Linked DNA regions of Callithrix jacchus. The protein of the gene in region 1 purifies or fractionates together with the protein of each later gene. This does not show direct contact. Links are inferred from orthologs where the notes say so. Each region holds a gene or a part of one and is shown on either strand. Other genes may lie near its edges.

Evidence for each region.
Region 2: the proteins of ABI1 (region 1) and WASF1 purify together in Homo sapiens (affinity purification with mass spectrometry; 6 studies listed by BioGRID and IntAct, with this or other methods). This does not show direct contact. The link is inferred for Callithrix jacchus from reciprocal best matches to the Homo sapiens genes ABI1 and WASF1.

Annotation. Positions count from the first base shown.
Region 1 is NC_133508.1:27,143,750-27,148,730, reverse strand, and holds part of ABI1 (abl interactor 1), read left to right. Parts: coding exon 1-16; intron 17-1,281; coding exon 1,282-1,422; intron 1,423-3,822; coding exon 3,823-3,923; intron 3,924-4,981. UniProt on the Homo sapiens protein: May act in negative regulation of cell growth and transformation by interacting with nonreceptor tyrosine kinases ABL1 and/or ABL2. May play a role in regulation of EGF-induced Erk pathway activation. Involved in cytoskeletal reorganization and EGFR signaling.
Region 2 is NC_133505.1:116,283,077-116,288,057, forward strand, and holds part of WASF1 (actin-binding protein WASF1), read right to left. Parts: intron 1,859-4,981; coding exon 1,724-1,858; intron 1-1,723.

The sequences.
Region 1 (4,981 bases):
GCCGGGGAACACTGGGGTAAGACTTCAACTAGGTTTTATGAAAGAATTCATATGCTAAAGGAAAAGGTGTTTCTGTGACTTAAGTAAGTGTATGGGATCCTTGCCATACTATCCTCTCTATGTGATGCTACCTTTTACAAATTCACTTCAATTCCTGTTTTCCTGAACAGAATCCCAAATGAATCTGACTGCTTTGTAATATTATCTATAATCTGTACCAGGAAAGTTTTAATATGTATATATATAGTATTATTTATTTTTTTGTCATCTAATTTTTAAAAAATATAAATCTGACTTATTTGTTTTATATTGAATGGTTAGAGTATTCCAGATGGTACCTTTGCATGTGTTTATAATATCTATATTATAGAACTTTGACTAGTGCTTTACTTTTGTGCAGTAAGGCTTACTAGTCCACAGCTCTTCTGTTTCCCCTATTATGTGGCATCTGAGACTTAGGGACTCTTTACTTTAGAAAAGTATGCACTTTATATGTAACTATACTTCTGCTGGTAATCTTAGGTCTCTTCATACTAGAGTAAGCTCCATGGGAAGGCCAGTTGGACAAGTAGAAAAGATAACTGTGGCTTCTTCCTCCTAGTTCTCAGTGTACTAAATATAGTGAATACTTGCCAAGGCATTACATATCTTTAAGATTATTTTTCTTAACACTGGAAATATTATACTGAATTTCTTGCTTTTTGGTGGAAGGGTTGTTCAGCACTCAGTCTTCTTTTAAGAAAGTCTTAGTTTTCATTTTTATTCATTAAACCCTTTGCCCCTGAAAAAAAAAAAACCACATGAAGTTATTAAATGAAAAGTTAAAATCATTTATTGAGAAATTCATGATTAGAATATATGTCTCCATTTATTGACATGTTGAGGTAGGAATAAGTTGCAACTTCTTATGTAAATAAATTTTAGCTTCCTATTTAAAGAACAGTGGCTTATGGGTGACTGAGCTGAGAATAATGTACATTTTAAAGTTTGGTATTACTGAGCATTAAAAAAATTATAACTATAATTTTTAGAAATAAGGTTAGGACTTTAAATTACCCTTTCCTATGTTTTTCATAAGAAAAGGTAACAGATTTTAGTTTGTATGTTAAAGTAACAAAGTTCATATATCCCAGTGAGGAATATTTTTAAAAACTACCAACTTTATTATTATTTTTTAAAATCCTGGTATATATTGTCACAAAGGGAGACTCACATATTTTTGGGAAAAATACTACTTTATCTTTTTAATTCATTATTGCTTTCTCCACTATGCTTCTTTAGACGGAATACTCCTTATAAAACCCTGGAACCTGTTAAACCCCCAACAGTTCCTAATGACTATATGACGAGTCCTGCTAGACTTGGAAGTCAGCATAGTCCAGGCAGGACAGCATCTTTAAATCAGAGACCAAGGACACACAGGTAAGCCTTCAGGTTGAGTGTTTGAACATCTCTGAAGTGGGTGTTACTGACTGGTGTCAAACTCCTATGAAGGTGCTGAGTAAAGGTGAAGTGCCACCTCTAATGCTAATACCAAGTGTAAAAGTTGGTGGCATAATGTTATATGTGTTCCTGTAAGTTTGTGTTATAAGTTCTGCGTTGTGTTTTAGGATTTTAATAACATTCATTGTACTCTTAATGGATTGTTTGTATTTCCTCCTTTTAATAGCGGTACAGATATATATTTGGTTCAAGACTAAAGAATGTTTTAAAATGGTCTTTCAAAAAAGTTCAAGGCAAACCACTCAAATACTTTTGGAGAAAAGATTTAATATTATAGGAATTATACAACATGATTTAAACTTTCAGAGAATGAAGGAAAGAAGATTGAGCTTAAATCTGAGGGAGACTTTATTAAGAGAGTCAGTATACTAGAATATGTTATGTATTTATTATTTTTAAATGTCCTAAAAACTATCCAGTGGGTTTTAAAAGTTTTAGTTATGGGCCGGGCGCGGTGGCGCAAGCCTGTAATCCCAGCACTTTGGGAGGCCGAGGCGGGTGGATCAGGAGGTCAAGAGATCGAGACCATCCTGGTCAACATGGTGAAACCCCGTCTCTACTAAAAATACAAAAAATTAGCTGGGCATGGTGGCACGTGCCTGTAATCCCAGCTACTCGGGAGGCTGAGGCAGGAGAATTGCCTGAATCCAGGAGGCAGAGGTTGCGGTGAGCCGAGATCGCGCCATTGCACTCCAGCGTGGGTAACAAGAGCGAAACTCCGTCTCAAAAAAAAAAAAAAAAAAATTAGTTATGAAGCATAATAAGCATTCAGAAAAGTATCTACTTTATTAAGTATCAGCTTGATGGATGGGCACACACTGATATAACCATCACCCAGATCAGAAAATGGAACATTACCAGCAACCCAGAAGCCCCCTCATGCTCCTTCCCAGTTATCGCATTGACTTTCTTCCCCCAAGATGTAGCCACTTCAATTTTTGAGTGCTTTATAAAACCAGATAAATTTATTATATACCCTAATTTATTTTATTCTTCAGTTTTCTCTCTCACTTAATAACTTGGGCAGAGAACCTCTCTTTTACCTTCACTCTTAGGTTGGTAAATGAGAGAGAACTTATGAAAATGATTTATGGGAATTCCACTAAATAGGGTATATCAAGATGCGAGATGCTAGGTAAGCGATATTTATTACTGTTGCTACTGTTAGTAAACAAATTGTTAAGTTGATAGCTGCAAATTCTGTATCAGGTCAGGTTCATTGAGGAACAAAATTTTTCTCTTTGTTGTTCATGAACTATTGGATCAAAGTATGGTTTTTCTCTATAGTGGAAGCATAGTTCAATCATATTCAACAAGCAGTTATTAAGTGTTGTTCATTAGATGTTAGGCTTATTTCCCAATAAGGTATATTTCTTTTTTCAAGAGCTCATTCTGTTATAACGGGAATCAGCAAACTTTTTTCTTTGAAGGGCCAGATTGTCAATATTTTAGGATTTGTGGGCCATATGGTTTCTGATGCAATTACTCAGATCTGTCATTGTAGCACAAAAGCAGCCATTGACAATACGTAAATGAATGTGGCTGTGTTCCAGTAAAACTTTATTTATAGCACTGAGATTCTAATTTCATGTAATTTTAATGTGTTACAAAATATTATTTCTCTTGATTTTTTTAACTATTAAAAAATTAAAAAACATGTTTTGCTCACAGGTAGTAAAAATTGGGCAGTGGACCAATTTTAGCCCATAGGCTGTAACTTGCCAAGCCCTTGTTGGAAAAAAGGCAGCTTCAGACACTGTGTTCATGACTGCATTGTTCACTGCTCTTCAAAGCGGGTTTTGAATAAACACTTGTTAACTCATTGTACTGTAAGATTTTGTTGGTGATAAATATTTCAACAGAGATGGTTTTAAGTACTATGTTTTTATTATATTGGTTCCAGATAGGTTGAGAAGTGGAACCATTTCAAATATTAAGATTAAGATTTGTGATGAATAGTTAAAAATTTTCTACACACAGACACACACACGCGCCCCTCTGCTTCCTTCCTGCCCTCCCTCGGGTTCTGCATTCCCAGAGTCAGCCAGTCTTGGGTTGAAAATACATTATTCATGGGATGCCGAACCTGTGGATATGGAACACCAACTTTTCATATCCACTGGTTCTGCAGAGCCAGCTGCAGGACTTTAACATCCATGGGTTTTGGTATCCAAGCGGGTTCTTGGAATCGATTCTCCAAGGATACTGAGGGATGACTATATGGCATAAAAGGAGTATTTAGTGGCCTTGGGTGATTACAGCTTTTTAAAAATATGTCTCTAGAATTGCTTTTTCACAATGTTTTTATTTTTTTTCCAGTGGAAGTAGTGGAGGAAGTGGAAGTCGAGAAAACAGTGGTAGCAGTAGTATTGGCATTCCCATTGCTGTGCCTACACCTTCGCCACCCACTATTGGACCAGGTGTGTTATTTATTAATCTATGTTTAACACATGATAGTATTTATGAGTTTTATTCTGGAAGGCTGAAATAAATTAGTCATATTGAGTAAAATTATTAAATTTGTGATTGTTGCTAGAACAAAGGCTGATAACAAAGTTATAAATATTTTTAGATTGCTTTTGACAGAGTCTTTAGGTTTTCACCAGCTGTTTCTCCTTATATATGGTGCATATTAAGTAGTTTTGTTAAACAACTTTTTGTTGGCCATTTTGCTTTAGAAATATATTTATTCCTCAGTGTCCATGGGGTGATGGGTTTCAGGGTTCCCTGTGGATACCAAAATGCATAGATGCTCAAGTCCTTTCTATAAACTGGTGTAGTGTTTGTATATAACCTACACACTTTCTTTCATATTCTTTAAATCATCTCTAGGTTACTTATAATACCTAATACAATATAAGTGCTAATTAAATAGTTATACTGTATTGTTTAGGGAATAGCGACAAGAAAAATAAGTCTGCACATGTTCAGTACAGATGGAGCCATCCTCTTTTTTCCCCCCGAAATCTTTTCAATCTATAGTTGGTTGAATCCAGCAATGAGGGAACCCATGGATATGGAGGGCTGACTGTATTTGCCTAGTGCACTAGTCAACAATGATAGTTATTATTTCAAGAGCAAAGCAGTATTATACGATACTCCAACTGGAGAATCAGTGTTTATAAAGGTGAATTATGTTTCTAAGAGTTGCCTTGCAGGGCACTATATACTCTGGTGTTTGCTTATTTTGTGACTTTACTACATTTATCTATGATATTCAGTATATATTTCAGTAAAATGCAATAAATGTAAAATAAGATTAAAATAGGAAAGTTATTTTACTTTTTAGAAAGTATAAAAATTTAAGAACTCCCTGGAGAGCATTAAATTAGCCCTTTGATTTTTAGTAAATGAAATGGAGACTTTTTATATTGTTAAAAATGTATATTTTAAAATTATGATAACGAAAAATGTTGGGAAAAAAATTCTTAGCTTTTTGAGCATATTTTTAAAAAAGGAGAAAAAGCCACTTATAAAA
Region 2 (4,981 bases), on another chromosome or scaffold:
AAAATAAATTTTGGCTATAAATTATGTATTTGAAAAGATGACCATAAAATATTTTTCACCTCTAACTACGATTTCATTTCAAGAATTCCATGAGATGCAATTAATGTATTAATATATGCACATGTTTTGAAGGATACCACCAAGAAAGACAACCTAAAGAATGGGAGAAAATATTTGCAAATCATATATTTGACAAAGGACTTAAATCCAGAATATAGACAGAATTCTAACAACTCAAAAATAAAAACGCTAATATCAATGGGCAAAGGAACTAAATAGACATTTATCCAAAGAAGATATACAAATGGCCTATAAGCACATGAAAAGATGCTCAACATCATTAGCCATCAGGGAAATATAATATAAATATATGTACATGGATGAACCTTGAAAACATTATGGTAAAAGAAGCCAGTCATAAAAGACCACATATTTCATATGAAATATACAGTACAGGCAAATCCATATAGACAGAAACATCAGCGATTGCTAAGGGTTGAGCTGAAGGGGAAATAGAGTGACTGCTAATGAGTACAGGACTTCTTTCTGGAGTGATACAAATATTCTAAAATTCATTGTGGTGAAGGCTGCATAACTATTGAATATAATAAAAAATTGTACACTTCAACTTTAAATGGATGCAAGGTATACGTAGGTTGTTAAATATATCTTAATAAAGCTATTTTTAAAGTATTATTTCATTTTTTTCTTGTATCCAGAGCTCTGAGTTTTTATTTTTGCAAGCAGTAGAAATCTAGTGTGCTAAGTATTTGCCTCTCCTTATTTACACATTAGATTATTTCAAAAGGAGCTGGTTCCATCACTGAGACATTCATTATAACATTGTATTTTTTTGTTCTTTCCAGTGACATCCTTTAATATTTTTATTGTTAAAGTTTAGATCTATTATATAATCTGCATTTATACTAAAAATTAGATTATATAATTTGCATTTGTACTATTTAATGCAACAAAAATATTTTGAAGGGAGTGTTGTAAGAAATTCCACTAAGCAATTCTCTGTGGTAGATAAGTGCAAATTATGTTCTTAGTACTGCATTTCTTTTTGTAAAACAAAGAAAAAGACACATTTGGGAAACATTGGCATTCAATGTATTCTATCAAGGCATAAAACATGATTTTTACCACGAAAGTTTCTACAAGTATTTTAGCCTACAGAGTGGCTTTTTTACCTGATTATTCCTGATTTAATATCTTGGTATAGAATGCTTACACCCTAACTGGCAATTTGTTTTTGAAATGTTCATTTAAAGTAGGAAGTTGCATTCGGTTAAATAATTAATAAGACTTTAGCAATATGCACATACAAAAGCATTTAAAAGTGGTTACATTCTTGTAAAATCAAACCTAAAGATTTCAGGTAATTTTCTAATAATTTTTATTTCTAAGACAAAAGTGTACAAATAAATTACAAGGGAGAAAAGATAAAGAAAATGGAGGAAAACATCTGATTAAAACATCTTTTTTATGTTAAAAAAATTAGGAGCTGTTTAGTGTACAAAAAGAAGATATTTAAAATAGAAAAGCCAGGACACTAATACTGATGGCATTTTTAGATAATTAACTGATTTATTACAATATGTACACCACAGAACATGGGTAAGATCTGGAATAAACTCACAATATTGTTCTTAAATATATCATTCATCTCATCTAACTTAAAATATACACACAGAAAAAAATACAATATTAATAAGCTTACATTCTTCTTCCTTTGGATCAAGCTGTGTAACACTAACAGATAAACGGTCCACACGTTCTTGTAATGAGTTGACTCTGAAGGAAAAACTATGTGCTTCATTAAATAATTCTCCAAATATATCTTCAGCATATTTACCTAAGCAAAAATGAAACATATATCATAAAATTTAATATCCAGAGCACTGAGTTTTTATCTTTGCAAGCAGTAGAAATCTAAAATGGTATCTGCCTCAGATACTTTGTGATCAGAGATAAACACTGAACAATGTAACATTAAAACTGGTGTCCTGTTGGAATTTGGCATTTATTTGGAACTACAATTGACCCTTGATCAACATCAACTGTGCTAGTTCACTCATACGTGGATTTTTTTCCAATAAAGATATTTAAAATTTTGGAGACTTGAGACAATTTGACAAAACTTGCAGATGAACCACATAGCCTTAACATTATTTTAAATATATGTTATGAATGCATAAAATATATGTAAATACTAGTGTTTTATAATTTACTACCATAAAATATATAGAAATCCATTATAAAAAGTTAAAATTTATCAAAATTTACACACAAAACACAAACACAGTGCCATTCATAGTCAAGAGAAATATAAAGAAATGTAAAGATGTTATCAGGTTGGCGCAAATGTAATTGCGGTTTTTGCCAACTTAATAATACCAAATAGTACTATATCTTAACAATAAATTTAAATGTAGTAATTCTGTATTACTGTAATAATTTTATAACCACCCTCTGTTGATACTGCAGTTAGTTCTAGTGTTGTATTTCCTTAAAATGCTGTTTGAGCAGTTCTCTCTCCACTAAATTGCCTATGAGAGTAGGAAGTAATCTCTCATGGTTCTTTTGTATTTTTCATCATGTTGCATGCAATACCGCAAACCTTGAATACACCGTGGGCCTCATTTAGTGACGCTGGAAGTACTCTCAAGTACAAAAATGTCATAACATTATAAGAAAAAGTTGAATTGCTTGATATGAACCACAGATTAAGGTCTACAGCTGTGGTTGCTTAACATTTCAAGATAAATGAATCAAACTGAAGGGCAATTATAAAAAAAGAAAAGGGGTGGGGCGGATCCAAGATGGCCAAATAGGAACAGCTCTGGAGTGTAGTTCCCAGCGAGAACAACGCAGAGAGTGGGTAAACACCACATTTCCAAATGAGTTATTACTGCCCACAGACCAGGAGATTCCCTGGCTGAAAAGTGCCATGAGTTTCCAGCATGGCTGTTTCAGCTGGTGCAGTGGGTCTCCACAGAAAAACTCACACAAATCTGGGTGACCGTTTCAACTGGCGCCTGAAATGACTGGAAGACAGAAATGCCCATTCAACTGAAAAAAAAAGAGGGGGGGGCTGAAACGGAGCCAGGTGATCTGACTAGGCGGGTCCCACCCCCACAAAGACCAGTATTCTGAAGTGCTCTGGATTGAGCGCTTCGCAGCAAGCGCAGCTGGACCCCAGATGGTCCAGCTCTGTTGGGGAAAGGGCATCCGCCATTACTGAGGCAGTCCTCCACTACTGAGGCAGCTCACCACTACCGAGGCAGCCCGCCACTACAGAGGCAGTCTGCCATTACCAATGCAGTTCTAACTATACCTCTATAAACAAAACAGCAAGGAAGTTCACACAGCTGCTGGGCAGAGCCCGTGGCAGCTCAGGAATGCCTCTGCTGGCAGACTGTGGCTAGACTACCACCATGCTGGGCAGGGCAGCTCTGAAAAAATGCAGCAGCATGACAGGAACTACAAAGCCCCATCTTACCATGACAGAGCACCTGGGTAAAAAGGTGGTTATGAGTTCTGCTGCAGCAGACTTAAATATACTTGTACAGAAGCTCTGAAGAGAACAACGGAGATCACAGCTCAGCATTTGAGCTCCTATAAGAAACAGACTGTCTCCTCAAGCAGCTCCCTGAACCTGTATATCCAAAGAGACACCTCATAATGGAGAGCTCAGGCTGACATCTGGCAGGTATCCTTCTGGGACAAAGATAACAGAAGAAGAAACTGGCAGCAACCCTTACAGTTCTGCAGCCACCACAGGTGATCCCCAGGCAAGCAGGGTCTGGAGTGACCTCTAGCAGTCTTATAGCAGAGGAGCCTGACTGTTAGAAGGAAAACTAAAAAACAGAAAGAAATAACTTCATCATCAACAAAAAGGATGTCCACTTAGAGACCCCATCCGAAAGTCATCAACTACAAAGACCACAGGTAGATAAATCCACAAAGATGGGAAGAAACCAGTGCAAAAAGGATGAAAATACCAAAACCAGAATGTCTCTCCTCCATGGGATCACAACTCATCACCAGCAAAGGAACAAAGCTGGATGGAGAATGAGTCTGATGAAGTGACAGAAACAGGCTTCAGAAGGTGGGTAATAAAAAACTTCTCTGAGCTAAAAGAACATGTTCTATCTAACTCAATGCAAAGAAACTAAGAACCTTGAAAAAAGCTTTGACAAAATGCTAACGAGAATAAACAGCTTAGAGAAGAATATAAATGACTTAATGGAGCTGAAAAACACAACACAAGAACTTTGTGAAGCATATGCAAGTTCAAAAGCCAAATCGACCAAGCAGAAGAAAGGATATCAGAGACTGAATATTAACTCAATGAAATAAAATGAGATGGCAAGATTAGAGAAAAAGGAGTGAAAAGAAATGAACGAAGCCTCCAAGAAATATGGGGTTATGTGAAAAGACCTAATCTATGATTAATAGGTGTAGTACACCTGAATGTGACAGAGAGAATGAATCCAAGCTGAAAAACACTCTTCAGAATATTATCCAGAAGAACTTACCCAACCTAGCAAGGCAGGCCAGCATTCAAGTCCAGGAAATACAGAGAACACCACAAAGATATTCCTCAAGAAGAGCAACCCCAAGGCACATAGTCATCAGATTCACCGGGGTTGAAATGAAGGAAAAAATGCTAAGGGCAGCCAGAGAGAAAGGTCAGGTTACCCACAAAGGGAAGCCCATCAGACTCACAGTGGATCTCTCCTCATAAACCCTACAAGCCAGAAGAGAGTGGGGGTCAATATTCAACATCCTTAAAGAAAAGAACTTTCAACCTAGAATTTCATATCCAGCCAAACTAAGCTTCATAAGCAAAGGAGAAATAAAATCCTATACGAAAAAGCAATTGCTGAGAGATTTTGTCACCACCAGGCCTGTCCTACAAGAGCTCCTGAAGGAAGCACCAAACACGGAAAGGAAAAACCAGTACCAGCCACTC